Macaca mulatta: one gene and its partners. The protein of the gene in region 2 interacts with the protein of the main gene of each other region in a pairwise test. Links are inferred from orthologs where the notes say so. Each region holds a gene or a part of one and is shown on either strand. Other genes may lie near its edges. The genes, in order: PSMB1, KIFC3, LENG1, PRKAA2, ZBTB8A, HSBP1 and FAM161A.

Region 1 (3,959 bases), on a different chromosome or scaffold from region 2:
GTCGCCTCCGCCCGAACCCTCAGAAAAGAGTACAAGCTGTTACCTGGGTCACTGCAAAGATGACCATGGGCCAGAGGAAACGAAGTTTCACAGCCGGCGGCCCAGGCGCCCGCCACAGCGAACCTGCCTGACCTCACTGAACTCCTGGCGCGCGTTGATAATGTCACTTCCGCCAGCTCTGCCCTCGGCTTCAGCGAGTTGCTCCCACTAGGGCCGAGGCCCTGGGAAGTGTGGGCATAGGTCACTTCCTGTGTTTCCATAGGCGCGGAGCTTAAGGTAAGGAGGGGCGAAGCTCTTGAGGAGTTCCGGGGCGGGGCCGCCGTGCCACAGCCGTCTCTAATTGGCCCTTGCTGGACATAGGACAGATCGATTTTTAAATGGTTATATGTGTGTGTGTTTTGTTGTTGTGGTGGTGGTTTAAAGCAACTAGCGGTGTTACCTTTGGCAAGTTACCTGACCTCTCCCCCGCAGTTTCTTCTGTAAAATTGAATAGTGATAATAGTGCTTACCGTTGGGCTGTCGGGAGATTGACAGAGACTGACAGTACTTGGCACTCAGTAAGCGCGTGCTCCTTACCTGTGCAAGAACGCTAGCTGATCTTCAAGGGTGTAGAATGACAAGGAACACTAAGCAAAACAAACGGCTTGTGTTTACACACGCATTTATATTCAGTTCTGCCACTCCCGTTTCATGCACTGTGGTCACAAGGCTCTATCCGCAGTTGTTTCTTAGTGGGACTAGAACTTAGTGGGAACTGATTTTCCCTTCTGTAGTTCATTGTGGCGTAGTCACATGTTATACTGCTCGTTTTCTTTGTACTCTTTATTATCAGTGAGGTTGTGAGCTCTTTAAGGATAGGAAATGTTATATACATTTTTTATTAGCCAGGACAATTAACGCGCTCACCGTTATTCGAGTTGGCGTTGCGCCATAGTTCTGCCAATGTTTTTGTATGGTCAGACTTAAATTTTCGTCCATTGGGGTGAATTCCAATGTTTTCTTCGACGGGGGGCGGGAAACCTTTACTTTTCTGTCAGCTTTTTTGGAATGGGCGGGACCCAACTACCAAAGGGACAGGCCGCCCTGCAGCCCTCCAGGAGCAACGACTAGCGCAAGATAGAGAGGCCGGGAGCGAACTTCAGGAGAAGCCGGAAGTGGCGTAACGTCCGGTCAAGGCAGCCATCTCGCCGTGAGACAGCAGGTGTCGGAGCTGGAGCTGCAGGCGCAGCCGTGCGATGTTGTCCTCCGTAGCCATGTATTCGGCTCCTGGCAGAGACTTGGGGATGGAGCCGCACGGAGCCGCGGGCCCTTTGCAGCTGCGATTTTCACCCTACGCTTTCAACGGAGGGTAAAAACCCCAGAGAGCTCCGCTTTCACTTTCGCCCTTCCCCCATTTGCTGAAGCCTGTTTAGGAGTCACCGCCGTCAAGGCGCTGCCCCGGTCCCCTGCAGGCCTCAGAACCCTGAGCTGAGTGGGTCCGCACAAGGCCGGTCTCCCTGCCGTCCTCTCATGCCCTGTGTTTCCTTCTTCAGGCTCGCTTTGGTCAAGTTTACTTGGTGATTGCGATACAGCCTTGGTTTTTAGGGTTTCCCATTACAGCCCTGTCATTTGGGTTTTTATGTGGACCGGAACTCCATGCTCCTTGCTGCTGTACGACGGTAAAGTAGAAATTGAAACATAGCCTCTGCTCTGTGGAAGACCAAACTGGACCTCATGTACACGTTCCTTATGCCAGCAGGCGAGGGTAGAGGTTTAGCGTCTGAAACTTAAAAGTTAGGATTGTTTGGTCTGTGTTGTTAGATGCGTAGCTGGGTTGGTAGCGGAAACGTCTTAATTGTAGCCGCCTGATTTCTGTTATTTCTAATTGTAGCAGTTTGATCATTTTATTTCAAATAGAAGGTGGGATTGGTTGAGCAAACTTAGTTTCATAGATAAGTGCTTTTTTTTTCTTTGTCAGGAGGAGTCTCACTCTGTTGCCCAGGCTGGAGTGCAGTGACCTGATCTCAGCTCCCTGCAAGTTCCGCCTCCCGGGTTCACGCCATTCTCCTGCCTCAGCCTCCCAAGTAACTGGGACTACAGGCGCCCGCCACCACGGCCGGCTAATTTTTTGTGTTTTTAGTAGAGACGGGGTTTCACCGTATTAGCCAGGATGGTCTCGATCTCCTGACCTCGTGATCCGCCCGCCTCAGCCTCCCAAAGTGCTGGGATTACAGGCATGAGCCACCGCGCCCGGCTTTTTTTTTTTTTTTTTTTTTTTTTTTTTTTTTTTTTAAACGTTTAGCTTAAGTTCAGGAAAACAAAATACTCAGAAGATGGACCTTTTAATATGTGTGATCTTGTATGTTGTGTTCAAGTTTTGGTTTTTATTTCAATTACCAACTTTATCTTGAGTAATATAATTTTCCGTGGTGGCACGCCAGAGATACAGGGTTATAGAAAGATGCTTTGTTTAAGACTCTTGACAGGGAAGAGCTGTAAATTGAAGCAGTGGTTATAGTTACTAATCAAGCCTTGTACATTAAAATATATACATTCAATTTGAATGAACCGATGGTTCTTAAAGAAAACAAAAAGTATTGGCTGGGCACTGTAGCTCGCACCTGTAATCCCAGGACTTTGGGACGCTAAGGCAGGAGGATTATCGCTTGAGGCCAGGAGTTCAAGACCAGCCTGCGCAACATAGCAAGACCCCATCTCTACAAAAATAAATTTTAAAAACAAAGCAAAAATGTTAATTGGTTCCTCATAAATTTGAAATATTAATGCATATTTTTGGAGTGTGTTAGAAAGACAATGAAAGTCTGATTTTAGTCTTAGTTCTGCCACTAAAGGACAGTCAGGTCTTTGGTTACTTCTGAACTTCTTGAACCTAAATTTTCTTCATTAGTAGCTTCATAGTTTTTGGTGAGAATCGAGAGAGATGTATTTGGTAAATTGCAAGCCGTCATCTTATTTAATCATCATGAAAAGTGAATGTTCGATGATGTTAGCATCCTAGGGTCATATTAGACATTAAACTGTCAGGGTCAGAGAGCTGGTGTGAAGTTGAGCCAGGACTTAGCTATTTCACCACTGAGTTTATTCATGCTTTTCCATTATACTCCTTAACACTTCCTGTGATGACTAATTAAGTTGTACATTGTAGGGAGGGTTATTAGACCCATTTCATAACGCTATTCTCTATAAATAAGAATTTTCAGTGTTCAGTATGCCCTACTCATTACTCACTTTTTAATCCCTAGTAATCCAGTTTAAGCCATTACTGCCCTAAAAATTACTTAGAACTTTCTGATTACTTTTTCTCAGTCATTGTTCTTTTTCTTTAGTGTTTACTGCAGCTGACTTTCAGGCAGCCTTTGCTTCCACAAAATGAGGCCTCATTCTCTTTTTCTACTCTGTCTTTAAATGTAGTTAAACAAGTCATTGGCCCCCTTGTTTATCACTCAGCACTCTTTCATGTCTCATCGCTGGGAGGATAACTCCCAAATCTGGTTTTCCAGTTCTGCCTCTCATGAGTCCCTCAATTCTGGCTTCTTCGGTAAAATATTTCTAACTGGTTTTTCTGCTCTCACAATAACTCGAGACAGCTAACAAAACAAAAAGCAAGCTAATTATTCCCCTCAATCTCCTCTTCTCCTTTTTTATTATTATTTTTTGAGACAGAGTCTCACTCTGTCACCCAGGCCGGAGTGCAGTGGTGCAATCTTGGCTCACTGCAACCTCCGCCTCCTGGGTTCAAGCTTTCTGCCTTAGCCTCCCGAGCAGCTGGGATTACAGGTGCCTGCCACCATGCCTGGCTAACTTTTCTATTTTTAGTAGAGATGGGGTTTCACCATGTTGGCCAGGCTGGTCTCGAACTCTTGACCTCAGGCAATTTGCCCGCCTCAGCCTCCCAAAGTGCTGGGATTACAGGTGTGAGCCACCGTGCCCGGCCTCCTCTGCTCTCCTTTAAAATACTT
Region 2 (4,198 bases):
CTGTGCACGAGAATCTAGCAGGTGAGCTGACTGGGGCCCTGTCTACCCCACACCGCGGCCTCTCATCCCCTCCCGCCTCACAGCCCAAGTGTCCCCATAGGCGTCCGGACCAACCTGCTGACCCTGCAGCCAGCACTGCGGACCCTCACCAACGACTACAACGGGCTCAAGCGGCAGGTGCGCGGCTTCCCGCTGCTGCTGCAGGAGGCCCTCAGGAGTGTCAAGGCCGAGGTGAGCGAGGGCAGTGGGTGGGAGGGTCCAGGGTGAGGGAGCGCACTGGGAGAGGCACAACATCCACCCAGGGCTCCCCTCCAAAGCTCAGACAAAGCCCCTCAGACAGCAGCCCCTGCCCCACCCATCATGACTTACTGCTGCCCTTATAGGCCCTGTTTGAAACTAGACTGCTTAGGGCAGGCATTCGGCTATTTGTCTTACTATGATTCTTTAAACCAAACATGTTACAGATAACTTCATATTTCAAACATGCAGGCCAGGCGCGTTGGCTCACACCTGTAATTCCAACACTTTGGGAGGACAAGGCGGGCGGATCACAAGGTCAGGAGTTTGAGACCAGTCTGGCCAACATGGCGAAACTCCGTCTCTACTAAAATCACAAAAATTAGCTGGGCATGGTGGCAGGTGCCTGTTAATTCCAGTTACTGAGGAGGCTGAGGCAGGAGAATCACTTGAACCCGGGAGGTGGAGGTTGCAGTGAACCAAGATCGTGCCACTGCACTCTAGCCTGGGTGACAGCGAGACTCTATCTCAAAAACAAAAAACATGCTACATACATATTTTTAAAAAAATTATTTATTAGAGACAGGGTTCATTATGTTGCCCAGGCTGGTCTTGAACTCCTGGCTTCAAGCAGTCCTCCTGCCTTGGCCTCCCACAGTGCTGAGATTATTGGTGTGAGCCACCATGACTGGCCGATACAGTCTTATCTCTGTTAGGTTTAACTTAATTCTTTCAAGCTGTACTTGTATATATGAGAATAGCCAGTGCCTCTTAAGTGCCTCCTACATGTCGAGCTGTTTATAGCCGTTAGCTCCTTGAATTTGTATGATAGCTTTGCAAAGACTAATATATTTTGGGAACAAAATATAGTTCTTCTTTTTTTTTTTTTTTTTTTTGAGACGGAGTCTTGCTCTGTCGCCCAGGCTGGAGTGCAGTGGCGCGATCTTGGCTCACTGCAAGCTCCGCCTCCCGGGTTCACGCCATTCTCCTGCCTCAGCCTCCCGAGTAGCTAGGACTACAGGCGCCCACAACCGCGCCCGGCTAATTTTTTGTATTTTTAGTAGAGACGGGGTTTCACCGTGGTCTCGATCTCCTGACCTTGTGATCCGCCCGCCTCGGCCTCCCAAAGTGCTGGGATTACAGGCGTGAGCCACCGCGCCCGGCTATAGTTCTTCTTTAAAAGAGTATGTCAATAATACGTGGACATGGTGAAAAGTCAAACTCCATAGCGGGGCATCAGGTGAATAGGAAAGGCCTCTCTGCCACCCACCCAACTCCCCCAGTGTGGCCTCTCAGCATTTCTCCCTGACCATTCTGAGCATGCTTAAGCCAATTGATATGTGTGTGTGTGAATATATGGTAGGCCCTTCCCCCACTCACAGGTTCTGCGCTCCCAGATTCAAACAACCACAGATCAAAAATATTTGAAAAAGATTAAAAATAACAGTACAACATTTAAAAATAATAGAAGTAAAAATAACATATAACAACTATTTACACAGCATTTTTTTTTTTTTTTTTTGAGACAGTGTTTCGCTCTTGTTGCCCAGGCTGGAGTGCAATGGCGGGATCTCAGCTTACTGCAACCTCTACCTCCCGGGTTCAAGTGACTCTCCTGCCTCAGCCTCCTCAGTAGCTGGGATTACAGGCACATGCCACCATGCCCAGCTAGGTTTTTTTGTTGTTGTTGTTGATTTGTATTTTTAATAGAGGCAGGACTTCACCATGTTGGCCAGGCTGGTTTTGAACTCCTGACCTCAGGTGATCTGCTCACCTTGACCTCCCCAAGTGCTGGGATTACAGGCATGAGCCACCGCACCCAGCCCCTACCTGGCATTTTCATTGTATTAGGTATTGTAAGTAACCTGGAGATGATTTAAAGGACATGGGCGGGGCTGGGCACAGTGGCTCATGCCTGTAATCATAACACTTCAGGAGGCTGAGGCAGGAGGAGCACTTGAGCCCAGGAGTTCAAGACAAGTCTGGACAACATGGTGGGACCCCATCTCTACAAAAATAAAAAAACTAGCTGAGTGCAGTGTCCTGCACCTGTAGTCCCAGCTACTCTGGAGGCTGAGGTGGGAGGATCGCTTGGGCCTGGGAAGTCGAGGCTACAGTGAGCCAAGATAACACCATTCATGGTGAGTTTCCACCACGTCCACGGAGCTGTGATTGCACTCCAGCCTGGGCAACAGAGCAAGACCCTGTCTCAAAAAAGTAAAGTATATGGGAGGATATGTGTAGGTTACAGGCAAACACTATATCATTTTATATCTGGGGCTTGAGCATCTGTGGAGTTTTATATCCTCCATGGTTACCAAGGGACGACTGTATACACTGTATACACTTTCCTTCTACCCCAGAAAGGGGACGTGTGATTCTGTATACAGCGGGATACTGTATGTGTGATTTTGCATCTTCTTTCCCCCTGTGAAATGTAACTGGGAGATCTTTATAGATTCATGATTTAGATGGTATTATCCCTGTTTTCCAGATGTGAAAATTGAGGCTTAAAGACATTGAGTCAGCAGTCTCAGATCCCCAGCTACTCAGGGGCAGAGCTGGAATTTGAGTCTGGTTGAATCACAGTCAAGCACTCATGCTATGGTGTGGAGGCTGAGTCCTGGCTCTATGCTTATTAGCAGAGCAGCCTTGAGCTGTCAGCTTAGAGTCTCTGGGGCTCAGTTTCATCATCTGTAAAATGGGGATGGCAGCAGTACCTACCCAGAGGGGTGATTGCGATAGTCTGACATGTGATAGTGTGTGTCAGGTACTCAGCCAGGGGCAGGAGGCAGTGAGCACCCCTCAGGGGTGGGCAGTTGGGCCAGCAAGGCTGATGGAGCTGACCCCCTGACAGTGGTGTGCACCCCCCACCAGATAGGCCAGGCCATCGAGGAGGTCAACAGCAACAACCAGGAGCTGCTGCGCAAGTACCGCCGTGAGCTGCAGCTGCGCAAGAAGTGCCACAACGAGCTCGTGCGGCTGAAAGGTGACTGCAGGAGGGCTGGGGGTGGACACCAGCCTCGGGGCCTCGACCTGGCTTGGCAGTCATGCCTGGAGCTCACCCCACCGTTGAGGCGCTATTCTAATCCCATCTCTGTAGATAAGGAAACAGAGGCACAGAGAAGGCAGGGAACTTGCTCAAAGCCACAGGGATATTAAATGGTCCGCCTTGGATTTGAACTTGAGTCTGTCCAGCTCAGAAGCCCTGGCCCCAGTGCTTGGGCAGGTGACTCCCCAGGCCCTGGATGGCCGAGGGGTGTGGTACTGCAGCACTGGGTTGTTGGCAGCTGGAAAGCCACTTGTTCTGACCTGGGGCCTGGTCAAGCTTGAGACTCCACCATGCACTGCATGGAGCTCTAGAGTGCCTGCTCTGTGCCAGGTGCCGTTCCAGCCCGAGGCTATGGTCATGGCCCCACAGACTGCCTCCCGGTGCTCACTTTAGTATGAGAATGGACAATGGTGATTGTCAGGGAACCCCAACCCTGCCCCTTTCCAGGGCTGAGACAGGCTCTCCTGGGTATGGGACAGGCAAATGTGTTGAGGGGCTTCCCAGAGAAGGCAAAGTTAGAGCTGAGACCTGGATGGTGAGCTGGAACAGATGGGTGAAAAGGGAGGGCAGGTGGGCCATGCTGGAAGTGGGGGATGTTTCCTCTTCATTACAAGAACACAGGAATCCCAACGAAGGCTGGAAGTAGATGGTGGCATGACCAGCTCATGCTGCCAGATACCCTTGTGGCTGCCCCACTATCTGGGCCCTCAGATACACCATCAGTCATCACCTGCTGCCAGGCCTATATGCCCATCTGATTCCTAAGCCCTGTCCTGCCATTCAGAAGGCTCTTTGCTCACTGGGGCCCAAGCCCCTCATTGTCTAGATGAAGAAACTGAAGTCCAGGGAGGAAAAGAGAGTATCCGTTCTGGCGTCTCATCCTGACTGGGTGCAGTGCCTGAGCCCCAC
Region 3 (4,997 bases), on a different chromosome or scaffold from region 2:
GGTCGCAGTGAGCCTAGATCGCGCCACTACACTCCGGCCTGGGCGACAGAGCGAGGCTCCGTCTCAAAAACAGCGAAACAAATTAGCCGGGAGTGGTGGTGCACACCTGTAATCCCAGCTACTTGGGAGGCTGAGACACGAGAATAGCTTGAACCCAGGAGGGGAGGCTGCAGTGAGCGCCACTGCACTCTCGCCTGGGCCACAGAGCGAGACTGTCTCAAAAAAAAAAAAAAAAAGAGGCACAGATTCTTGTGTTTCAGATCCCCTTTCTCCGTGCCTTACCCCCACCAGCTTACCCTCTTCTCCACCTGCTCTCCGGCTGCCCGCACCTTCCGGGCCTCCACGGCGAATTTCTTTTTCCCCTTGGTTCTTCTCCTGGGTCTGGCCATCTCCAGCGTTCCCCTGCTTTACAGCATCTTCCTGTAAGTGCGAGAGGTTCCCGCCTCTCTCCCTCCCTCTCCCCCCATTCAGTGTTCAGACTCCTGGCTCTACTTGAACCCAGCCTGTCTTGACTTCAGGATCCCGCCTTCTAAGCCGTGTGGTCCATTCCGGGGGCAGTCGTCCATCTGGGCCCAGATCCCTGAGTCTATTTCCAGCCTCCCTGAGACCACCCAGAACTTCCTCTTCTTCCTGGGGACCCAGGCTTTTGCTGCGCCCCTTCTGCTGATCTCCAGGTGAGGTGGACCAGACTTCTGGGTCTGGGTTTGAATGCGTGTGATCTGGGGGCCACCACCTGCGTCCAAGAGAGGAAAGGCTTGGGGGTGGGAGCAGGCAATGTACTGAGTCTGAGGGAGGAGGCCTAGGCTCCTGGACTGCTGGGTCCGAAGGAGGAGGTGGGCGGGACTTAGGACTCCTGGATCTGAACGCGGAGGTGCTGGGAGACTGAACTCCTTGAGCCTGGACGAGGAGGGACTTAGGGGTCCACATCCCTGACTTCGAAGAGCGTGTCAGGAGTGGCTTCCGTTCCTGTCTCCTCCAGCATCCTGATGGCGTACACTGTGGCTCGGGCTAACTCCTACGGACGCCTCATCTCTGAGCTCAAACGTCAGAGGGAGACGGTGAGCCAGGCGGGTCCCTGAGAGGGCCCCCGGGGAACACGGAGAGGGGCTGGGGAAGAGGGCTGTCACACCTCCACCTCTCTTTGCCGCAGGAGGCGCAGAATAAAGTCTTCCTGGCACGGCGCGCTGTGGCGCTGACCTCCACCGAACCGGCTCTTTGACCCCCGCAGCTCACGCCCCACTTTCAGACCCCAGGCCCATTGTAAGCCTAGGTCACAACATCTGTAAACTAGGAGAACTGGAGAAGACTCCACGCCCTTCCAGCTTTGATATCTGGAGATTTCCAGGGCCCCTCGCCGCCACGTCCCTGACTCTCGGGTGATCTTTCTTGTATCAATAAATACAGCCGAGGTTGCTGAGCGCGCTTTGAAATCTGCGTCCTGAAGGTGGGGGCAGGGCTACCGCAGGGCAGGAGCCAATCAAATGTATGGGCATGTTTGTCGGTGCGGAGCGCACTTCCGCAAGGAGACTTGACGGTCATGTCGACCAATCGACGGCCGCATGTGGTAGCATCGGGGCGGGCCAACTTATGATTGGTTCAGATCTGTGATAAGAGGCGGTTGCTAGGGGATACCACGAGCCGAACGCCTAACATTCGCTGTGAAAAGGACGTCTCAGCCAATCACCTGTCGTTACAGGCCAGGGGGCCGTACCAACTAATTCGGAACCAATCTGCGGTCGAAGTAGGGACAAGAGGAAGGGGGGCATCCTCTCGCCAATCGGAAGTGCAAAGAGGCGGGCGTGCCAGTCCCTGGACAGCTACGACGCCATGAATATCTTGCCCAAGAAGAGCTGGCACGTCCGGAATAAGGACAATGTCGCCCGCGTGCGGCGTGACGAGGCCCAGGCCCGGGAGGAGGAGAAGGAGCGTGAGCGGAGGGCGCTGCTGGCTCAGCAAGAGGTAAGCTCGGAGGCCGGCCGGGCTGACCGCCGGAGCCCAGCGCGCACGCGCCGCGGTTGGGGGCCGGAAGCGGAGGCGTTGCGCAGGCTCAGTGTGCCCCGTGTGAAATTCGGGACCAGGCGCCGATCCCGTTTTCGAGGACGTTGCTCTGCAAACCTTGTGGCCACTTCCACGAAACCTCCCTTGATCTCGCCTTCGTCTTAGTTTCCCCCCACTGATGTATTTCACATGGCTGGAACAGTGTCTAGCACAAAAGAGCAGCTTAAAAACATTTAATGAATACATGAGCGCTTGGACAGTTCAAGGAAATTCGGATCACGTTTTAGTTTGCCTGCGCAGTTTATTTATTGAGCACCTATTGTATGCTAACTACATGCAGAGCGCCTGACTTGCGGAATCCCCAGGAGGCACTGTTCGTTCTTAGAGGGGCACTGTCATCTCCGTTGCACGGAGTGAGATGGCTTCAGTGAGGGGAAGGCACATTTAAGGAGAGGGGGACAGCCAGGCTCCACGCCATCGGGCGAGCCCTTTCCTGCACCGCCCCCTAGACACATACACACAAACACGGGCTTTCTGTATGGCTCCTTAAATCTGTTTGGTGTACACCCAACTTTCAGTTCCTTAGCTAGTCTGATCCTCCACAGTGGGTGGGAGGTAGTCTGGGTTTTTAGAATCTCAGTAGGCTGCTGAGCGCTGTTTGAAATCTGCGTCCCGAAGGCGGGGGACAGGGCTTCAGCAGTCGACTTGGGGTAGTGACTTGGAGCCATGGCTAGAATTCAGATCGTCTGGCCTAATGCAGTTTGGTCTACCTTTATGGCTGTTTTAATTGTCTCACTTGAGGTTAGGAACCCCTTTGGTTTAGGCCAGGGACCTCCTTCCAGCCATCCTTGATGACCCGTGGTTTACGATTTGAAAGGCAGTTTACAAAACCCAGGCGTTGCCTCATCTGCCTACCCTCACCCGCAGCTAGGACAGGTGCCTCTTTTAGGCGTCTAGTGCTCCCTTTCTTATAACCCCAGCACCCTGGACTGCCATTTTCTGTGGTGGGCACCAGACTCACAGTTCTTGAATCACCTCTAGGTTCTGAATGCCCTGCCTATAACTTTCTCCCCAGGCCCGTACAGAATTCCTACGAAAGAAAGCCAGACATCAGAACTCACTGCCTGAGCTTGAAGCAGCAGAGGCGGGAGCCCCAAGTTCTGGCCCTGTGGACCTGTTTCGGGAGCTGCTGGAGGAAGGGAAAGGAGTGATCAGAGGCAATAAAGAGTACGAGGAAGAAAAGCGACAGGAGAAAGTAAGCTGGCCTCACCCACTTCATTAGAGGAGCCATGAATCGAGTTGGGGGGAGAGGGCACTTTAGCCACTGCTTGTGATCAAGGTCAAACGAGAACGAACACACAGAATTTAGAACCATACCAAAGCATGACACTTAAGAAGTGTTGCCATCTGGGCACCCACAGGGCTTGGAGGTAGATGCTAGAGGTCCCCAGCTGCTAGGCAAACTGCTCAGTTCTCAAAACTGGAGGGGTCTGAAACCTTGATAGGCTTTTAAAAATGTAAATCAGCCAGCTGTGGCTCATGCCTGTAATCCCAGCACTTTGGGAGGCTGAGGCGGGTGGATCACCTGAGGTCAGGAGTTCAAGACCAGCCTGGTCAACATGGTATCTCTAAAAATACAAAAAAATAAGCCAAGTGTGGTGGTGCACGCCTGTAATCCAGCTACTTGGAGGCTGAAGCAGGAGAATCGCTTGACCTGGGAGGTGGAAGTTGCAGTGAGCTGAGATTGCGCCACTGCACTCCAGCCCAGGTGACAGAGCGAGACCCCATCTCAAAAAAAAAAAGAGAAAAAAAAAAAAAGGCGAATCATTCGCCTCTTGCCTTTTGGCTAAGATCAAGTGTAAAAAGTATGTCTGGTCGTGCATGGTGGCTCACACCTGTAATCCCAGCACATTGGGAGGCCAAGGTGGATGGATCACCTGAGGTCAGGAGTTCAAGACCAGCCTGGCCAAACATGGCAAAACCCCGTCTGTACTAAAAATACAAAAATTAGCCGGGCATGGTGGTGCGTGCCTGTAATCCCAGCTACTAGGGGGGCTGAGGCAGGAGGATTGCTTGAACCTGGGAGGCAGAGGTTGCAGTGAGCCGAGATGGTGCCACTACACTCGAGCCTGGGCAACAGAGCGAGACTGCATCTCAAAAAAAAACAGGTACATGAGCTCTTGTCACTCACCTGCTGTCTCTGGACTTGCTGACCCCACCCATGGCTCCTCTGCTTTGCTTGATCCCTTCAGGCTTCTCTTCAAGTCTCTCTGCAAAGATGCCTGCCTCTGAACACTCAAGTGGCTCCACTTGTCCCCTCCTTCCCCTGCTGTTACCTGCCACTGTCCCCCCACGGGGAACTTGGCCTCTGTTGGTGTCTTCCATCCCCAGCACCTGGTACAACTGGTTCATGACAAGCCTTAGGTACCTGTTTGCTTAGATTCCTATGTCAGGGAGACACACCTGACACCTTGAAAGATTATATCCCATCTCTTGTATTTCCTGGCCCCCTCAGGAGAGGCAAGAGAAAGCTCTGGGCATCCTGACGTACCTGGGCCAGAGTGCAGCGGAGGCACAGACTCAACCCCCTTGGTACCAGCTACCCCCAGAGCGAGGGGGGCCCCCTCCTGGCCCAGCCCCAGATGAGAAGATCAAGAGCCGTCTGGACCCTCTTCGGGAGATGCAGAAGCATCTGGGGAAGAAGAGACGGCACAGCGGTGAAGGCAATTGCAGCAGAAAGGAAAAGAAGGAGGGGTCTGAGAAGCTGCGACCCAAGGAGTAAGAAGGAAGACCCTCCTCGGCAGACCAGGGCCCAGACTTTCAGGGCTTGGCAGCAGCCCAGCATGGGCACTGCAGGGTCTCTGGTCAGGACAACCAGGGACTCGGTGAAGGGCTGGCTGGGTGAAGTGGTTCTCAACATGTGGTCCAGGAAGCCCCAGGGGTCCTGCCACCCTTTCCCGGGGTGCCGTGGTATCAAGCCTATTTTCCTGACACTGTTG
Region 4 (2,853 bases), on a different chromosome or scaffold from region 2:
GAACAATAGGGAAGTAGGTTTCACTTTTTAAAATTAACTGATTTGTCAGATTCTTTGTCACATTTCTCCATTCATATTTTATTAGTTAGTATTGTAGTGTCTAAACTTTCCCCTTCATCACCTTTCCTCATCCTGGGTGGCCAGGGTGACCAAATAGGTCTCCATTGGGATTTGGGTTGGATTTAGGTACTCATGGCAATCAAGGAGCCAGAGGCATCAGGGAAAATTGTCATGTCCAAGAACTTAGTGTGTGCTAAGAATTAAACTTGGGTAAACCAAATCTGATTATTCATTTCAGAGGCCCAAGTGGGATAAAACCAGAATAAACTGAGGGTCAGGTGCTGGATGGAACAAAAATGGAACTGAGTTTAGAGTTAGGGAAGTTGTTTTAAACAAAGTATTTAAATTTTACTCTTGAACTACCATCAAATATGTACGGTAGTGTTTATATGGATCCCAGACCTCTTTCATCGAAATTACATGTTGTTATTAAAACACAGATCCCTGTGTTTTGGTCCTGGGAATCGTAGAATCTGCAGTTTTAACAAGATTTCTCTCACTTTGCCCCCCACTTCCCCAAGGCAATATATGATGGTAACTTTTATTTTTACCTTAATGATTTTTTTTGTTGATATGCTAGAAGAAAATAAGTTGTCAAGGATACGCTTTCTTCACATGAAGAGATATCAGTTTGATTGATGCCAGTATCAATGCCCAATACTCCGATTTGAGAAGGACTTAGAGGCCACATTTTGGCTGTGTGCACGTGTTGTGATTGGTAGCGATGTTTGTTATGATTGTTGGAAGGAAGAGAACTGTGCTTCTAAAACACTGAAACATGACATTCATTATTAAGTTGCCTTTGCTCAGATGTGTTTACTTAATATTCTGAATATCATAAATTCATAGGAAGGGCTTGGGCATATATACTTTTCATATAAATTGCTCTTCTTTGGTCCATTTCAGATGAAGTAGTGGAGCAGAGGTCTGGTTCCTCAACACCTCAGCGTTCCTGTTCTGCTGCTGGCTTACACAGACCAAGATCAAGTTTTGATTCCACAACTGCAGAGAGCCATTCACTTTCTGGCTCTCTCACTGGCTCTTTGATCGGAAGCACATTGTCTTCAGTTTCACCTCGCCTGGGCAGTCACACCATGGATTTTTTTGAAATGTGTGCCAGTCTGATTACTACTTTAGCCCGTTGATCTGTCTCTAGTTTCTTTCTGTTATTGCACTATGAAAATCAGATATATTCTTTAAATTTTTATCTTACTTTTGGATAATATCCACTGCAATACTAATTGAGAGACATGAATTATATCCAGGGGACACACAATGCTATTGAAATTACTGAAAACAAAATATCTGACATCTTATTTACTTGTAGAAATCTGTAATTCTATTGTGCCTATGATAAATTCACATAGGCAGTATCTTTAATAGGTTAATATCGATGAAGATTTTTAATTACAATAATGAGTTCACTACGGATGATTAACACACCACACTGGCGAACCATCTCAATGTAAGGGTGGTTTGGCAACACCTCCTTGCTTTACTGTTTGGTGTAGGTAAATCCAGTTTACTTCCTAAATTTCAGTAGGCTTTATGCTGTGTTTATGCCCCCAATTTATTTTAACAAAAGAAGATTAAAAAGTAAAAGAACCACGAGTAAGATATTATTTAAATGTTGAAATCTTAAAAACCTGCCCCCAAGGTTTCAGAAGCCAAGTTCTTTTAACAGTATTTTTACAAATACTGCCTAGTATATTCAACAGAAGGACTGTGGTCATGTCACAGGTAACCACAATTTTCAGGTTTCTTAAAAGCAGCTGTAACTGACTCAGTATTTTATCTTGAGATTTCCCTGAATAATATATTTATCTTAAGAGCATTCGAGTTTCAAATTAGTATTGGAACACCTGGAATTGCAACAACTTTTGTCTTTTACATATACTTACATCTTTTAAAAAATGTCTTCAAAACCTACCTTTCTCAAATTCTTTTGGCTCTATTTATTTTTGCATTTCACCAAACAGTGATAAAATAGTTAAATGAAAAAAAGCAAGGTATCAACAGTCCCTTAAATGAGAATTATCTTTGATCTTTATTTTGTGTGTTAGATGTTAGGGTCCTGGTGCATCTCATAATGCTGATTCTTCATGGCAAGCCACTCCCTTCACCCCACCTATCCTAGTCACTCTTGTCTTTGTTCATTGTTTGATCCTCAGTGGTTGGTGGGTACAGCTTTGAATCTTTTCTAGTTCCAAGTTTGAAAACACTCTTCTGGCCCTAAGGGCTTTCGTACACTTCCAAAGCTTGATAGGCTATGACCTTCACTGTTGAACCTGATAGGGCAGGGAAGCTTTGAACATCAAGAAAAAATTTTTCTCTTCAATAAATAAATATGTGTATTCACACACCAGTGCTTTTAAGCAAAAACCAGTTTTTGTTTTGTTTTGTTTTGCTTTGTGCAGGTTTTTTTAAGATTAAAAAAACACAAACTATAGCAGGGTAGATAATAGTTTATGATTATATTTTGTTTTGTTTTAGTAAAAGTATTTAATTTTAAATTATGTGTAATTTATCTAATTTGTATTTATTTGTTATTTTTATGTTGTAATTAACACTTATTTACCTGGATTACCCTAAAAAACATTAAGCTCTTGAAAACAAAAAAATTACATTACCTTGACAGGTTTCTCTTTGACAAAAGTAATGTATGTTCTACCAAGAAGCAAATGAGAATATTAGACTAAGTTACTCCTGTGTTAGTGGAAAACAAGTGTGTCTATCTTTAAATATTCTTTGAATTAGGAGTTTGCATTGTGTCACATCATATGGCTTTGCAGA
Region 5 (4,727 bases), on a different chromosome or scaffold from region 2:
GGAGGTTGCAGTGAGCCGAGATCCTGCCACTGTACTCCAGCCTGGGCAACAGAGGGAGACTCTGTCTCAAAAAAAAAAAAAAAAAAAAAAAAAAAAAAAATTGGAATGGATTATCTTCCTCAAGATTTGAACTGAAGAGGTGGAAACAGGGATGGGGGTGGGGTAGGGTGGCAGTCAGAGTTTAAGAGACTAGCACTGGTTAATGATGGAGCCCCAACATAGAGAAACAAGCTCCCAAAGCTAGCAGAATGAAGATGAGGGACAAAACTGTCATTACCTCTTCCTTGCAACAAAGTTTTTTGTTTGTTTGTTTGTTTGTTTGAGATGGAGTCTTGCTCTGTCACCCATGCTGGAGTGCGGTGGCACGATCTCGGCTCACTGCAACCTCCACCTCCTGGATTCAAGCCATTCTCCTGGTTCAGCTGCCCCAGTAGCTCGGATTACAGGCACGCACCACTATGCCCAGCTACTTTTTATATTTAGTAGAAGGGTTGCACCATGTTGGCCAGGCTGGTCTCGAACTCCTGACCTCGTGATCCGCCTGCCTTGGCCTACCAAAGTGCTGAGATTACAGGCAAGAGCCACCGCGCCCGGCCACAACTAAGAGTTTATCACCAACCTGATGTGCTCTCTTGAGGAATAAGTTTGTGGAACTCTTTTGCATTAATCTTTAATTAAGGCTAAAATCAAACCTTTGGCTATAACCATGTCCAGGTCTTTCTGGGGGAATTCTCAATGGGGGGCGCTAGCAGAGTAATCTGAGTACATCCAATATACCTGATACCTAATGGTTTTCAAATATGTTTCTACTTACCTGTTCAGAAGGCAAGGAAACACAACTAAATAGCAAAGCACCTCTGCAGTGACACAGAAGTGACATTAAGAGACAATTGTGAAGATCTTGCATCCTCAAAATGCATAATTATTCCTGAAATCAAAGTTACAGACTGTCCAATATGACTGATTATGAACAGGAGAGGAATCCATTAAAAGCTAAACCCAAGTTTTGATAATTTGAACCTTTTTCCTCCAGTTTTACTATAACACAGTACTTTTCAGTACCTGACCCCAGCATAAGGAACTAGGAAACTAATTTATAGAAGTAATGCATCTATAGTAACAGTGAAAATCCACTGATTTACTATTTTAGCAAATGTATAACCTGATATCTGTACTCTAAATATTAGAGATGTAAATTTGTCAGAGGAAGCTTGGTATACAATGAATGCTTGTATTGGAAAAGACGGAACTTGCTGTTTTTACTAATTTTGTATTTCTCTGGACTTAAACTAGGAATTATGTTCTCTTAGCTTCTCTGGGTTTTCCTCTTCAAATGAAATGCTTCTGACCTGTAGAGGTTTAGAAAAGGTTATCCTCAACTAAAACAACTGCTTCAATACAAGAGAAAACTCTGTGGAAATCTTTTGCATTTGACGTTGCTAAACTTAAGTACAATAATGTCACATGTACTTATACAGTAATTGTGGGCACGCCTAAGTCCCTCCCTCTTTCCTAAACCAAATTCCCCAGATCCTAGAAATCCAGCCCTTCTGCCCTCCGGAGGCGCCTTTCCCAACGTAAAGTACAATTTTAAATTTCAGCTCCTGACTAAAATCATGATCCGCAGTCAACTGCTAGAGAATCTGGGCACCCCGGTGCCTCTGGAGCGTGCAGCGGGTGTGGGCAAGGGCAGGGGGAGTGGGCGAAGCTGCTGGTTGGTGCCTGAAATCTGTGCGTTGCCCCTTTAATTGTGTCCCCAGCCCTCGGGCGTTTCTGTCCAACGCCCACGTCAGCAAATACCTTTTGTTTCTCTCACGTTGGGGCTACTTGTTTTAGGGCGCAAAGGAACGGCCTCGAAAGGGGGTCCTTCCCCAGCCGAGAACCAAGAATCTTCCCCCGGCCCGCGCGCGCGACCGGCCGGTGCGCCGCGGCCCGCGGTAAGTGGCGGCGCGCGGCGCCGGCGGAGGGCGGGCGGGCGTCGGGGCTGCCCGGGACCCGCCGCGAGCCTGGCCGCGGGCGGAGGCGCCGCGGGCTCTCACGGCCCGGGCGGCGGCGGTGCTGAGATGCGGGCCCTGGGCGCGCCTCACCAAGACGTCCCCGGGCCGGGAGCGCGGCGGGAGGCGCCGAGGCGAGCGGGCGCCATTTGCAGCCCGGGGCGCAGCGGCGGCGGCGGCGGCGGCGCCGGCTCCGAGGGGCTGTGGGCGGCCACGGAGGACGCGCGGGCGGCGGCGGCGGGCCGAGCCCGGGGCGGCGGCGGGCGTTGGTGGGCACCGGCTCCCGGCCGCCCCTCCCCGCGCCCGGCCGCGCCGCCCAGCCCGCCAGGCCGGCCCCTCCTGCGCGCCCGGGAGGGGCTGCGGGACAATGGCCGCGCCGTCGCCGCCCGCGCCCGCCTAGCCGCCCGGCCCGGCCCGGGGAAAGGCGGGAAGGCGCGCGGAGCCTCCTGGCGGCGGCGGCGGGAAGGCGGCGGGGACGGCGCCGGGCGTGTCTGGAGCCGTCGAGCGCCGCGGACTCCGGAGGGGCTCGGGCTGCGCGGCGCAAAAACGGGCGGCCGCCGGGGGGGCGCGCGAGGAGGGCAGGGCCGGGGCCGGAGCCGGAGCCTCTGCGGGCGCGGCCAGGGGCGCTGCCGGTGAGCCTGGCTCCCAGGGCAGTAGCCCGAATTTCTCGGTACAGCCTCCATCCTTGGTTTTATGTCAAGATGCGACATCTGGGCTTAGAAAACCGAGGGCTAACTCACCGCGCCTAACCAATGTTGAGCTCCAACTATTTGCTTCTGGACGGAACCGTACATGCTCATCTCTACCCATGCTGACCGCCTCTTTTGTGAGTTAGTCAGCGGCTTGTTCCCTTCCCCTTCAGATGCGCTTATTTATCGCTGATTGTTCCAATGGCCCTACTCCACATCATTCTGAGACGCGTTTGGAAGCGGTAGATTTACACACACACCTGGTGGGCTTCTAACCACACGTCAGTATCACTATGCTTGATAAACCTCTATATTTGCACAACTTTAAATGGAGTGCTTTCACCTATATGAATTATTTCACTTAATTTCACATAAAACAACCACTTAGGCTGACGGTAATTCCACTTTGCAAATGAGGGAACACGTGTGAAGCATGGCGTTTCACCTCTAGGCCAGGGTGACATAGCCACCCAGGACCTCCTGTTCCCGTCCTGCCTTCCCTCCTAAGGTACCTCCAGAGGAGTCTTTAGAAGGGCCAATCTTACACAGCGCTTCCCTGCACTGAAAACCTTAACTGATCTTTTTCAGGAACGCCTCCAAAATCCCCAGCAAGCTTCTGCTCCAGTCTTAATCTCCTCCATGCCTCAGGTATGGATGCATTTGTGGACTGGAGCAAGAGCCCCTCACTGATAAGCAGGGATCAGATGTCTTTATTCCTGGGAACCTCTCTGGCCACACAAGTGGCAACTGGGAAGTGAGAATCTGGCTTAGGGCCCTTGACCAAATGGGTGTCTGGGTGGATTGTGCTCAAAAATGTCAGCAGGAGGCATAATGAGTAGGGACTCCAGGAAGGAGGCCAAGCCACTAACCCTTATCTCCAAGCCCTGAAATCACCAGCTTTGCTGTTGATAATGATTTGAGGCCATGAAAAACTTTGTAAGATAGAGTAATATTGATTCATCCTGTATCATTTAAATCTAATTTTTAGATACAACTATGTCTAATAGATTTAACTCAGTGACACAATGATATGTTAATCATATTTAAAGGATTTGATGTGTTTGATTCCCTTGAATGAAGCTTTTGTTACTTTTGTGCTCAAAATTGGTCAGTGGTTCCCCATCTTACGCAGTTTAAAAGCCAAAAGCTCCATAATAGTCTATGCAGCCTTACAGCATCTGGTCTCACTATGTCCTACTTCTCTCATGATTTGCTTTCCCTTTCTGACTCCATATCCCATTGCTTCCCCGCTGCTCACCTCAGGGCCTTTGCGCTTGCTTTTCCCTTTGCCTGAAATACTGTTTCCCCAGACACCCACATGACTCTTACTTCCTTTGGACTTTACCCAAATACCATCTTCTCAATGAGGCTTTCCCCAACTATAGTTTTGATTCTCTTAAGTGTTTTTATTCTAAATCTTTTCTGTCTCATGCCATTTGTGCAGCTATAAAAATACTTTGGGACTGGGTAATTACACAGAACAGAAATTTATTTCTCACACTTCTGGAGGCTGGGAAGTCCAGGCAGTTTGGTGCCTAGTGAGGGCTGCTCTTTGCTTCCAAGATGGCACCGCGTTGCTGCATCCTCTGGATGGGAGGACTGCTGTGTCTTCACGTGGCAGAAGGGATAGAAGGGCAAGAGGGGCCAAACTCACTCCCTCAGGTCCTTTTATAAGGGCGTTAATTCCATCCATGAGGGCAGAGCCTTCGTGGCCCAATCACCTCCTAAAGGTGATACTGTTGCAATAGGGATGAGTTTTTTTTTTTTTTTTTTTTTTTTGAGACAGAGTCTTGCTCTGTCGCCCAGGCTGGAGTGCAGTGGCGCTATCTCGACTCACTGCAAGCTCCGCCTCCCGGGTTCACGCCATTCTCCTGCTTCAGCCTCTCCAGTAGCTGGGGCTACAGGTGCCCACCACCACGCCTGGCTAATTTTTTTGTATTTTTTAGTAGAGATGGGGTTTCACCGTGTTAGCCAGGATGGTCTTGATCTCCTGACCTCTGATCCGCCCGCCTTGGCCTCCCAAAGTGCTGGTATTACAGGCGTG
Region 6 (4,819 bases), about 26 Mb from region 2:
TCTGCGTCTGTTTTCTCAATAATGTAAAATTATGATAATTATATCACAGGGTCTTCTGAGGATTAAGTTAAAACACTGAGTATGTTTATTTCAAGTAGTCGGGTGAAGTACTAGCCAAACACCAGTTGACAACAGCCAAATACAAAAAAAGTTGTGCATCCTTACACAGAAAGGAAGATCTCTCTGTAGGGAAGGATGAGGTGTGTAGGGTGAGACGCAAAGGTGTAAGTGAGGGGGAAGGGGTGGTGAAGGGAGTTGAGTCTTATGCCTCAAGGCCAACTGGATTCCAGGTTTGTTAGAGACACTGGTGGGTCTCACAGAGGCGTTTGAACAAGAGCAACTCCATCTCGAATAGGAGCTGGGTAAACTGAGGCTGAGACCTACTGGGCTGCATTCCCAGACAGTTAAAAGGATTGTAAGTCACAGGATTGGGATAGGAGGTCAGCACAAGGTACAGGTCATAAAGACCTTGCTGATAAAACAGCTTGCAGTAAAGAAGCCGGCCAAAACCCACCAAAACCAGGATGGCAATGAGAATGAACCCTGTTTGTCCTCATTGCTACACTCCCATTAGCGCCATGACAGTATACAAATGCCATGGCAACATCAAGAAGTTACCCTATATGGTCTAAAAAGGGGAGGTATGAATCACCCACCCCTTGTTTAGCATACAATCAAGAAATAACCATAAAAATGAGCAACCAGCAGCCCTCGGGGCTCTGTCTATGGAGTAATCATTCTTTTATTCCTTCACTTTCTTAAACTTGCTTTCACTTTACAGACTCGCCCTGAATTCTTTCTTGCAGGAGATCCAAGAACCCCATCTCTTGGGGTCTGGATCAGGACCCTTTCCTGTAACAGGTCTAACCCCTTACAGACTCTCCCCACCTAAACTCAAACTGGAGCTGACCCTCACACACAGCAGTCCTTAAATGAGATGTGTGAAAGTTTCCAGAACTTTCACACATCTCCTTGCCAGGCCCGCAGTCAAGGACTCTCCTATCCCCTTGCCCTGAGACCCAATCCTAAAGACCATCTGTGGGGTTGGAACTAGAGGTTCCACCTCAGCAGTGCCCACCTCCTTCAACACCCAAACCCACAGTCTAACCCTGATGCCGGAAGCCTTCCCCACTCAACAGTAGGCATCGCGTGGAGTGCAAGAAGCCAGACATGATGGACAGCTTCCTGTCTGAATCCCCTCATATGAACCTGACGGGCACAATGAACCTGCAGGGTTAAACTCCGGACGCTGGCCACCCTCAGGGTGGAGATGACAGGACAGGACAGGACAGGACAGGGGCCATGGGGCTTCCGGGGGGCTCATGTTCCTTGACTTGGGGGCAGTTACAAGGGTATAGTGGGTCTTGTTGAAGGACAAAAGTTCAGTAAGTTCGTCCTGACAGGCCAAAGAAACCCAGAGCCGTCTTTCGACTGACTACAGCCTGGAATGGGGGCCAAGGCCACTCCCTGCCTCTATTGCTCCATTTCTGAGTTGGTCTCACTTCCCACCCCACCAACGGCACGCTGGGGAGGGGAGGGGCTATGCAAAAGAGGGCGGGGAGCGTGGGGTGGGGCCGCTCCTTGGAACGGAAGCGCTCGGCCTCGAGGCCCTTCCGGTGCGGGAGAAACTACTACTCCCATAATGCCCCGCGGTCCCGCGAGCAGCCAGTCTCGTCGCGAGAAGCAGCGGGCGGGGGCGTCTGAGCCGACAAACGGAAGTGTAGGTTACGGTCTGAGACATAACCGCCAAGCTGGGCGTCGGGGAGATGGCCGAGACTGACCCCAAGACCGTGCAGGACCTCACCTCGGTGGTAAGGGACGGCTGTGAGGGCCCGAGGCCGCGGCCTTCTCGGGCGGCGCCGGGCCAGGCCCTGCTGGACAGAGGCGCGCCCACCGCACCCGCGCTTGGCGTCTGCCGAGGCCCGGTTTCTGGAAGCGTCTCTGGCCGAGGCTCCCGGCCACCTTGACCCCCTGGGCGCTCGGTGCGGACCCGTCTACCCGCGAGCGCTCCTAAGCCCGACCCCCTCCGGTAACCCCATTCACCTGTCGCGAACGCCCCCCGGGTCCCTCCTGCCTCGCTCTGACACCCTCCCCGCCCTTCGACTCCTTACACACCCCTGGGTGCCTCAGCCCGGCAGAAACAGCCTAAAGACCCTGAACTTTGAGTCGCAGCGGCCTCCCCAGCCCACCAGTCTAATTAGACAGGTGGGAAAACGGAAGCCCCGAGAAGGAAGATCCTTGCTGAAGGCGGCACAGCTGCCCAGAGGCAGAAATGGGGCTGGAACCCGAGATCAGAGCTCACGTCCTGATCCCAGGAAGGTGTCTCAGGATCAGTGTGGACCGTGTTTGTTTGTTTCGGTTTTTCTTAGGTGCAGACACTCCTGCAGCAGATGCAAGATAAATTTCAGACCATGTCTGACCAGATCATTGGGAGAAATATCCTTTTTATCTGTAGTGGGCCTCCTGTGGGCCTTTGGAGCCTCTTTGCCGGGCAGCGGTGGGGATAAATGAGTAGTTTTCAGGCCAGCTTCAGCCAGTCACTTACAGAATTTGAGCTTGGATTGTACTGTGTTTCCAAGAAGGACTGCGCCGAGAGCTCGGGGTACAGCTGAGCTAGACAGATCCCTGGCTCAAGGAGCGTACATCTACCAATCCTAATAGCTGGTGTGGTTGACCATGGACTGTGAACTAAGCGCTTTTGTGTGTGTCTTTCTTTTGATACTCAGCATGACCTTATGAGTGGGTTGTAGTGTTACCATCTTTAGCAAATGCATAAATTGAGGTTTAGGGGTTCCATCACTAGTAAGGGTCAGGGCCGGAAACCGATGCTGAGTAGCCATGCCCCAGAGGCCTATACTCTTACCCACCAGCCTGTAACAGTGTCTAAAGGAAATTGGAAGACCGGTTTCCCTAAAATCGTTGTGTTTAAGGCCGTAGTCCACAGGGACGGAAGGAAAGGGCTCAATGAGGAGATGTTGGCACGCGTTGTCTTTAACTTCACCACTTGATGATATGAGTAGTCGCATTGATGATCTGGAGAAGAACATCGCAGACCTCATGACACAGGCTGGGGTGGAGGAACTGGAAGGTGAAAACAAGATACCTGCCACACAAAAGAGTTGAAGGTGAGGAAGGGGGCAATTTTTTTTTTCGTTTCTTTTTTTCTTTTCTTTTTTTTTTTTTTTTTTTAACACGGAGTTTTGCTCTTGTTGCCCAGGCTGGAGTGCAATGGCACAATCTCGGCTCACCACAACCTTTGTCTCCTGGGTTCAAGGGATTCTCCTGCCTCAGCCTCCCGAGTAGCTGGGATTACAGGCTTGTGCCACGACGCCCAGCTAATTTTGTATTCTTAGTAGAGATGGGGTTTCTCCATGTTGGTCAGGCTGGTCTCGAATTCTGACCTCAAGTGATCCGCCCACCTCAGCCTCTGGAAGTACTGGGATTACAGGTGTGAGCCACCGTGCCCGGCCTTTTTTTTTTTTTTTTTTTCCCTTAAAAGAATAGAACCTGTAAATATAATTTTGATGTAGTCAGACATTCTGTAGATCAGTTCCCAGCCATGATCCCAGCAAACATCCCTGTATTCTTTACCCGCTGTGGACTTCATGTTTTGGAATTTTTCATGCCAAACTCATTCTTTACACTGAATTTATTTTCCCAGGTTTTATTAATTAGACTTCTGTCACTGTTAGTTAAGACAACTGGCTAACATTAGATAACCACTGAGTTTTTATCATTCCAGCTAATAAAGGGGTTTTTGTTGGCCTATAAAGCCTGTCACTGGAAGATTTTCCATTGCTTTTCTTGGGAGGCGGGGGGCGGTGGAGGGGATCGCTGATAAGTCGCCCACATTACCACCTTCTTAAATGGCTTAAATTCTGGAGACTTTCTTGGTAACTTGACATTGGTAAACTAGATTGTGGCCACATTAAGCTTTTACTCTGGAGTTCATTTAAATTTCCACTGAATAGTTTCAGATGTCAGAGGAAAGCCCATTAAAACTACCCAATAGCAAGATAGGTAAATGTACACTATCACTCAGCACTGAGTGCACAGTCCTTTTCCTCTGTATATGTGAAAAATAAGTTTTAAACTCCCTTTTCTCATGTTTCATTTATAACGTTTTAATTCTCTATAAAAATGAATGTTACCCAGGGAGGCAGAGGTTGCAGTTGAGATCGCGCCACTGCACTCCAGCCTGGGCGACAGAGTGAGATTCGTCTCAAAAAAAAAAACGGTTGCTGGCACGTGGTGGCTCATGCCTGTAATCCCAGCACTTTGGGAGGCAAAGGCGCGCAGATCACTTGATGTGAGGAGCTCGAGACCAGCCTGGCCAACATGGTGAAACCCTGTCTCTACAAAAATGGGCGTGGTGGTGCACGCCTGTAATCCCAGCTACTCGGCAGGCTGAGACAGGAGAATCCTTTGAACCCAGGAGGCAGAGTTTGCAGTGAGCCATGATCATGCTACTGCACTCCAGCCTGGGTGATAGAGCAAGACTCTGTCTCAAAAAAAAAATAAAAAAATAAATCAAAATCCTGAGTATTTTTAGATAGGTAGTGTACCAAGCAGAATATACAGTAAAAGATGCCTAGTTTCCTATTTTCTGGGCTTGCTCTGGACCACATTTTAAGTTATGCGAAATACAGATTTGGGATATTGAAGACAGACTCTTAACTTTGCTTTTATCTTTACGATAGGTAGGGTTTATTCACTATGTGAGTACATCACATAACTGCTTTCTATGGGTGATGTCATCATTATTCTTATCCAGAGATAATTTGGAAAAATGTCCTACCAGTCTTCGATGCATCTGTGG
Region 7 (4,198 bases), on a different chromosome or scaffold from region 2:
AGTATCTAATCTTGTTCTTTATATTATTTTTGATTGCAGTAAACTGATATATCAAAGAGCTTTGTTCTAAGGTTTGGATGAAATCTGATAGCACAAATTAACACATTAAACATCCATTATGTGATGTGTTCATTAGCACATATGTTAATGTTTAGTAGTATGTGTTGCATTTTGTTAATTTCAATATAAAAATAAAAATATTCACGGAATCCTTAGAACCCCTTCACTAGAATTCTGCAGTACAAAGTTTGAAAACCAGTGTTCCAGATGTTGCACATAAAAATGTTGATGTTTAAGTAGGAAAATATCTCCCTCAAAGCCAGGTAAGTAATATGATTTATTACTTTTTAATCTGATTTCTAAATATACATATGTGCTTTTAATTACAATGAGTATTCTTTTATAATTTAGCATTAATCCATTGACAAAGGGAGCTTAATTTGGTTAACTTGAGCATAATGTTTCTTAGAAATAGATTACTTACCCTCAGGAAGTAAACTATTAATAGCTTTTTTTTTTTTTTGAGACAGAGTCTTGCTCTGTCGCCCAGGCTGGATCGCCCAGGAGATCAAGCGATTCTCCTGCCTCAGCCTACAGAGTAGCTGGGATTACAGGCACTCACCACCACGCCCAGCTAATGTTTTTTTTTTTTAGTAGAGATGTGGTTTTACCATGTTGGCCAGGCTGGTCTCAAACTCCTGACCTCAGGTGATCCGCCAACCTCGGCCTCCCAAAATGCTGGGATTACAGGCGTGAGCCACCGCACCCGGACGATAGCTTTTTCATAACCCCAACTTGTGTATAATTAAGCCTAATTATTTGGAAGTATAATTGTTTTCCCCAATCCATTAATTTTATTATCTTGGTAGCAATTAAATAGTGTAGTTTAATTTATTATAGGACCTTGCCCAAATAGTGAGAACACTTACGGTAAATTTATATATTTTGGTTCCTGTTTCTCTTTATGTTATGTTTCCATGCGCTTTATTTCTCCTTTGACTTGCTCCCATTGAATTAACTTTGCCACTAACCTGTAGGAGATCTTATTTAGGGGGAAAAAATAACAGCAAAGGCTGGATGCCATGGCTCACATCTATAATCCCAGCGCCTTGGGAATCCAAGGCAGGAAGATTGCTTGAACCCAGGAGTTTGAGACCAGCCTGGTAAACATAATAAGACCCCCATTTCTACAAAAAATTTTAAAACATTAGCCAGGTGTGGTGGCATGCACCTGTAGTCCCACCTACTCGAGAGGCTAAGGTGGGAGGATCATCTGAGCCCAGGAAGTTGAAGCTGCAGTCAGCCATGATTGTACCACTGCACTCCAGCCTGCGCAGCAGAGCAAGAACCTGTCTCAAAAATAATAGGCCGGACGCGATGGCTCATGCCTGTAATCCCAGCACTTGGAAAGGCCGAGACAGGCAAATCACCTGAGGTCAGGAGTTCGAGACCAGCCTGGCCAACATGGTGAAACCCTCGTCTCTACTAAAAATACAGAAAATTAGCCAGGCATGGCGGTGCACGCCTGTAATCTCAGCTACTCAGAAGGCTGAGGCATGAGAATTGCATGAACCCAGGAGGTGGAGGTTGCAGTGAGCTGAGATGGCGCCACTGTGCCAGCCTGAACAACAGAATGAGACTCTGTCTCAAAACAAAAAACAAATAACAACAATAAAATAATAAATAAGAGCAAGGTCTTGTTTTCTTTTTTTTTTTTTTTTTTTTTTTTTTTTGAGACGGAGTCTTGCTCTGTCGCCCAGGCTGGGGTGCAGTGGCCGGATCTCAGCTCACTGCAACCTCCACCTCCCGGGTTTACGCCATTCTCCTGCCTCAGCCTCCCGAGTAGCTGGGACTACAGGCGCCCGCCACCTCGCCCGGCTAGTTTTTTGTATTTTTTAGTAGAGATGGGGTTTCACCGTGTTAGCCAGGATGGTCTCGATATCCTGACCTCGTGATCCACCCGTCTCGGCCTCCCAAAGTGCTGGGATTACAGGCTTGAGCCACCGCGCCCGGCCAAGGTCTTGTTTTCGGAAGAAATTCCTTACAGAGAAGATAGCTGATTTGTTCCAAAATGTTCTTGGTTTTATACACTTATAAATGAGACAAGAGGGCTTTCATTCATCTCTTCAGGTCAGTTTGAAGTCCCTTAACATATGTATGCCTTGGGGATTTCAGAAATTAAAGTGTTCAGACTATTCCTAGAGCATAATATGTGTGGTCTCAGAACCTAGGATTTTATTCTGCATTCCGTGAGAATTAACCAGTACAGAAGAGGAATCGAGGTAAACTGTGAACTGTGCTCATAATTTCTGATTTGTCAGCTAAGCTAAATGTTATTTCTTTTTTTTTTTTCATTGACTTTGTAGAGGTTGATAAGTTAAATGTTACATATGTAAGTTCTTATTTCTTAGATGATCTTTTAAAAAATTCCATTGCTTTTATTTAATTTTAGAAAGAGCGAAAAGGAAAGGATGAGAGAATACCAACGAGAACTAGAAGAAAGAGAAGAAAAATTAAAAAAGAGGCCACTGCTATTTGAAAGAGTTGCTCAGGTTGTGTTTATTGGAATTTAAGAGCTATTGTCAGTTGTTGTTGTTGTTGTTGTTGTTGTTGTTTTTTTACAGCTTTAGCTCCTAAATTTACAGTCCATTTTTCTTATGTGTTATATAACTGTTGGGATACATTATTGCTGTTTATGTTGGCTTCATCATATCAGCCAATGAGTAATTTTGCTTAAATCCGAGCATTTAACCAAGTGTGGTGGTGTGCACCTGTAGTCCCAGCTACTTGGGAGGCTGAGGTGGGCAAATTGCTTGAGCCCAAGAGTTTTGGTCCAACCTGTGCAACGTAGCAAGACCTCATCTCAAAAAAATAATCTGAACATTGAATCTTTTTGATGAAGCACATAAGTTTGATAAATAACATGCCAATCCAGTAGTTTGTAAAATAATTTTGCAAGCTGTTTTCTAATGGCTAGTCTTTTTTCAGTACAAACTTGGTTAGATATTAAGATGAGGCTTCATGATATCACTTGGAGGTCTTTGAAGAATTAAAAAAATGAAACAAAATGGCTAATTGAATCAGAGTTATTTCTGCCAGTTTTTTTTTAAGTGAGTTTGTAATTCACTCTTCTCTGCAATTACTAAAAAAACTTCCTTTCTATAAGAAAAACAAACTAGCCTTACAGACAGTAGACCCTGAGTTTACTCAGTTTATGCCCAGTTTTATAATCTTTCCCTTAAGGGAGATTTGTTCATTTTAGGTCATCTTCTCCTTTATCCCATAGGGGAGGCATCTGTATGGGTGACATGGCTTAACAATTGACAAAATCACTGGAGGTTGCAGGTTCTAAATTGTGAATTTGAAGCTGTTATAATTGGACAATAGACAGTTGGAGAATTTACCTGTAACAGATGAGCATGGTTACAGAACTGTACTTGTCAGTGACTCAGTGAGGACAGTGGACATGTATTGTGAGTGAATCTGCACGTTACAGTCTCTCAAAGTTACATAATCTTTTTGCTCACTGATCTAGATATAATTTTATGTAATGCCTTTCATTTTAAGGGATGGATTTTTTTAACATCTTTATTTCAACTTTAGGGGGAAAAATCATTTTAAGCTGTTATACATTATAATCATAAAGTGATTGGCTTTTGCCCGAAGACATTATCTCCAGCTTTGAACTGCAAGTTTTTTGTTTTTGCTTTTTACACTGCTTCTGGGTTTTTCTTATTTTAATTTTTTTCAACTTTTATTTTAAATTCAAGGGGTACATGTGCAGGTTTGTTACAAGGGTATGCCAGGTGCTATGGCTCATGCCTGTAATCCCAGCCAGCATTTTGGGAGGCCGAGGCAGGTGGATCACCTGAGGTCAGGGGTTCGAGACCAGCCTGGCCAACATGCTGAAACCTCATCTCTACTGAAAATACAAAAATTAGCCGGGCATGGTTTTGTGTGCCTGTAATCCCAACTACTTGGGAGGCTGAGGCAGGAGAATTGCTTGAACTTGGGAGGCGGAGGTTGCAGTGAGCTGAGATCGCATCATTGCACTCCAGCCTGAGCAACAAGAGCGAAATTCCATCTCAAAAAAAAAAAAAAAGGGGGTATATTGTGTGAGCTGGGGTTTGGGGTATGATTGAACTCATCACCCACGTAATGAGCATAGTACCCAATACGTAGTTTTTCAACCCTTGCC

The links.
Region 1: the proteins of KIFC3 (region 2) and PSMB1 interact in binary tests that used the Homo sapiens proteins (3 or more experiments, as listed by UniProt). The two-hybrid records come from large-scale screens. The link is inferred for Macaca mulatta from reciprocal best matches to the Homo sapiens genes KIFC3 and PSMB1.
Region 3: the proteins of KIFC3 (region 2) and LENG1 interact in binary tests that used the Homo sapiens proteins (3 or more experiments, as listed by UniProt). The two-hybrid records come from large-scale screens. The link is inferred for Macaca mulatta from reciprocal best matches to the Homo sapiens genes KIFC3 and LENG1.
Region 4: the proteins of KIFC3 (region 2) and PRKAA2 interact in binary tests that used the Homo sapiens proteins (3 or more experiments, as listed by UniProt). The two-hybrid records come from large-scale screens. The link is inferred for Macaca mulatta from reciprocal best matches to the Homo sapiens genes KIFC3 and PRKAA2.
Region 5: the proteins of KIFC3 (region 2) and ZBTB8A interact in binary tests that used the Homo sapiens proteins (3 or more experiments, as listed by UniProt). The two-hybrid records come from large-scale screens. The link is inferred for Macaca mulatta from reciprocal best matches to the Homo sapiens genes KIFC3 and ZBTB8A.
Region 6: the proteins of KIFC3 (region 2) and HSBP1 interact in binary tests that used the Homo sapiens proteins (3 or more experiments, as listed by UniProt). The two-hybrid records come from large-scale screens. The link is inferred for Macaca mulatta from reciprocal best matches to the Homo sapiens genes KIFC3 and HSBP1.
Region 7: the proteins of KIFC3 (region 2) and FAM161A interact in binary tests that used the Homo sapiens proteins (3 or more experiments, as listed by UniProt). The link is inferred for Macaca mulatta from reciprocal best matches to the Homo sapiens genes KIFC3 and FAM161A.

What each region holds. Positions count from the first base shown.
Region 1 is NC_133409.1:1,497,375-1,501,333, forward strand, and holds the start of PSMB1 (proteasome subunit beta type-1), read left to right. Parts: upstream 1-1,159; 5' UTR 1,160-1,235; coding exon 1,236-1,348; intron 1,349-3,959. UniProt on the Homo sapiens protein: Non-catalytic component of the 20S core proteasome complex involved in the proteolytic degradation of most intracellular proteins. This complex plays numerous essential roles within the cell by associating with different regulatory particles.
Region 2 is NC_133425.1:53,376,807-53,381,004, reverse strand, and holds part of KIFC3 (kinesin-like protein KIFC3), read left to right. Parts: coding exon 1-21; intron 22-100; coding exon 101-231; intron 232-3,114; coding exon 3,115-3,226; intron 3,227-4,198. UniProt on the Homo sapiens protein: Minus-end microtubule-dependent motor protein. Involved in apically targeted transport. Required for zonula adherens maintenance.
Region 3 is NC_133424.1:66,390,895-66,395,891, reverse strand, and holds the start of LENG1 (leukocyte receptor cluster member 1), read left to right. Parts: upstream 1-1,804; 5' UTR 1,805-1,827; coding exon 1,828-1,959; intron 1,960-3,073; coding exon 3,074-3,253; intron 3,254-4,513; coding exon 4,514-4,776; intron 4,777-4,997. Other genes in the region: voltage-gated chloride channel TMC4, read left to right, coding at 292-422, 519-674, 980-1,058, 1,151-1,219.
Region 4 is NC_133406.1:183,917,936-183,920,788, reverse strand, and holds part of PRKAA2 (5'-AMP-activated protein kinase catalytic subunit alpha-2), read left to right. Parts: intron 1-966; coding exon 967-1,205; 3' UTR 1,206-2,853. UniProt on the Homo sapiens protein: Catalytic subunit of AMP-activated protein kinase (AMPK), an energy sensor protein kinase that plays a key role in regulating cellular energy metabolism.
Region 5 is NC_133406.1:208,334,404-208,339,130, reverse strand, and holds the start of ZBTB8A (zinc finger and BTB domain-containing protein 8A), read left to right. Parts: upstream 1-1,511; 5' UTR 1,512-1,577; intron 1,578-1,794; exon of another isoform or gene 1,795-1,836; 5' UTR 1,837-1,937; intron 1,938-4,727. UniProt on the Homo sapiens protein: May be involved in transcriptional regulation.
Region 6 is NC_133425.1:79,174,333-79,179,151, forward strand, and holds the start of HSBP1 (heat shock factor-binding protein 1), read left to right. Parts: upstream 1-1,680; 5' UTR 1,681-1,766; coding exon 1,767-1,811; intron 1,812-2,369; coding exon 2,370-2,436; intron 2,437-3,004; coding exon 3,005-3,123; 3' UTR 3,124-3,125; exon of another isoform or gene 3,126-3,299; intron 3,300-4,395; exon of another isoform or gene 4,396-4,819. UniProt on the Homo sapiens protein: Negative regulator of the heat shock response. Negatively affects HSF1 DNA-binding activity. May have a role in the suppression of the activation of the stress response during the aging process.
Region 7 is NC_133418.1:62,900,064-62,904,261, forward strand, and holds part of FAM161A (protein FAM161A), read left to right. Parts: intron 1-2,452; coding exon 2,453-2,552; intron 2,553-4,198. UniProt on the Homo sapiens protein: Involved in ciliogenesis.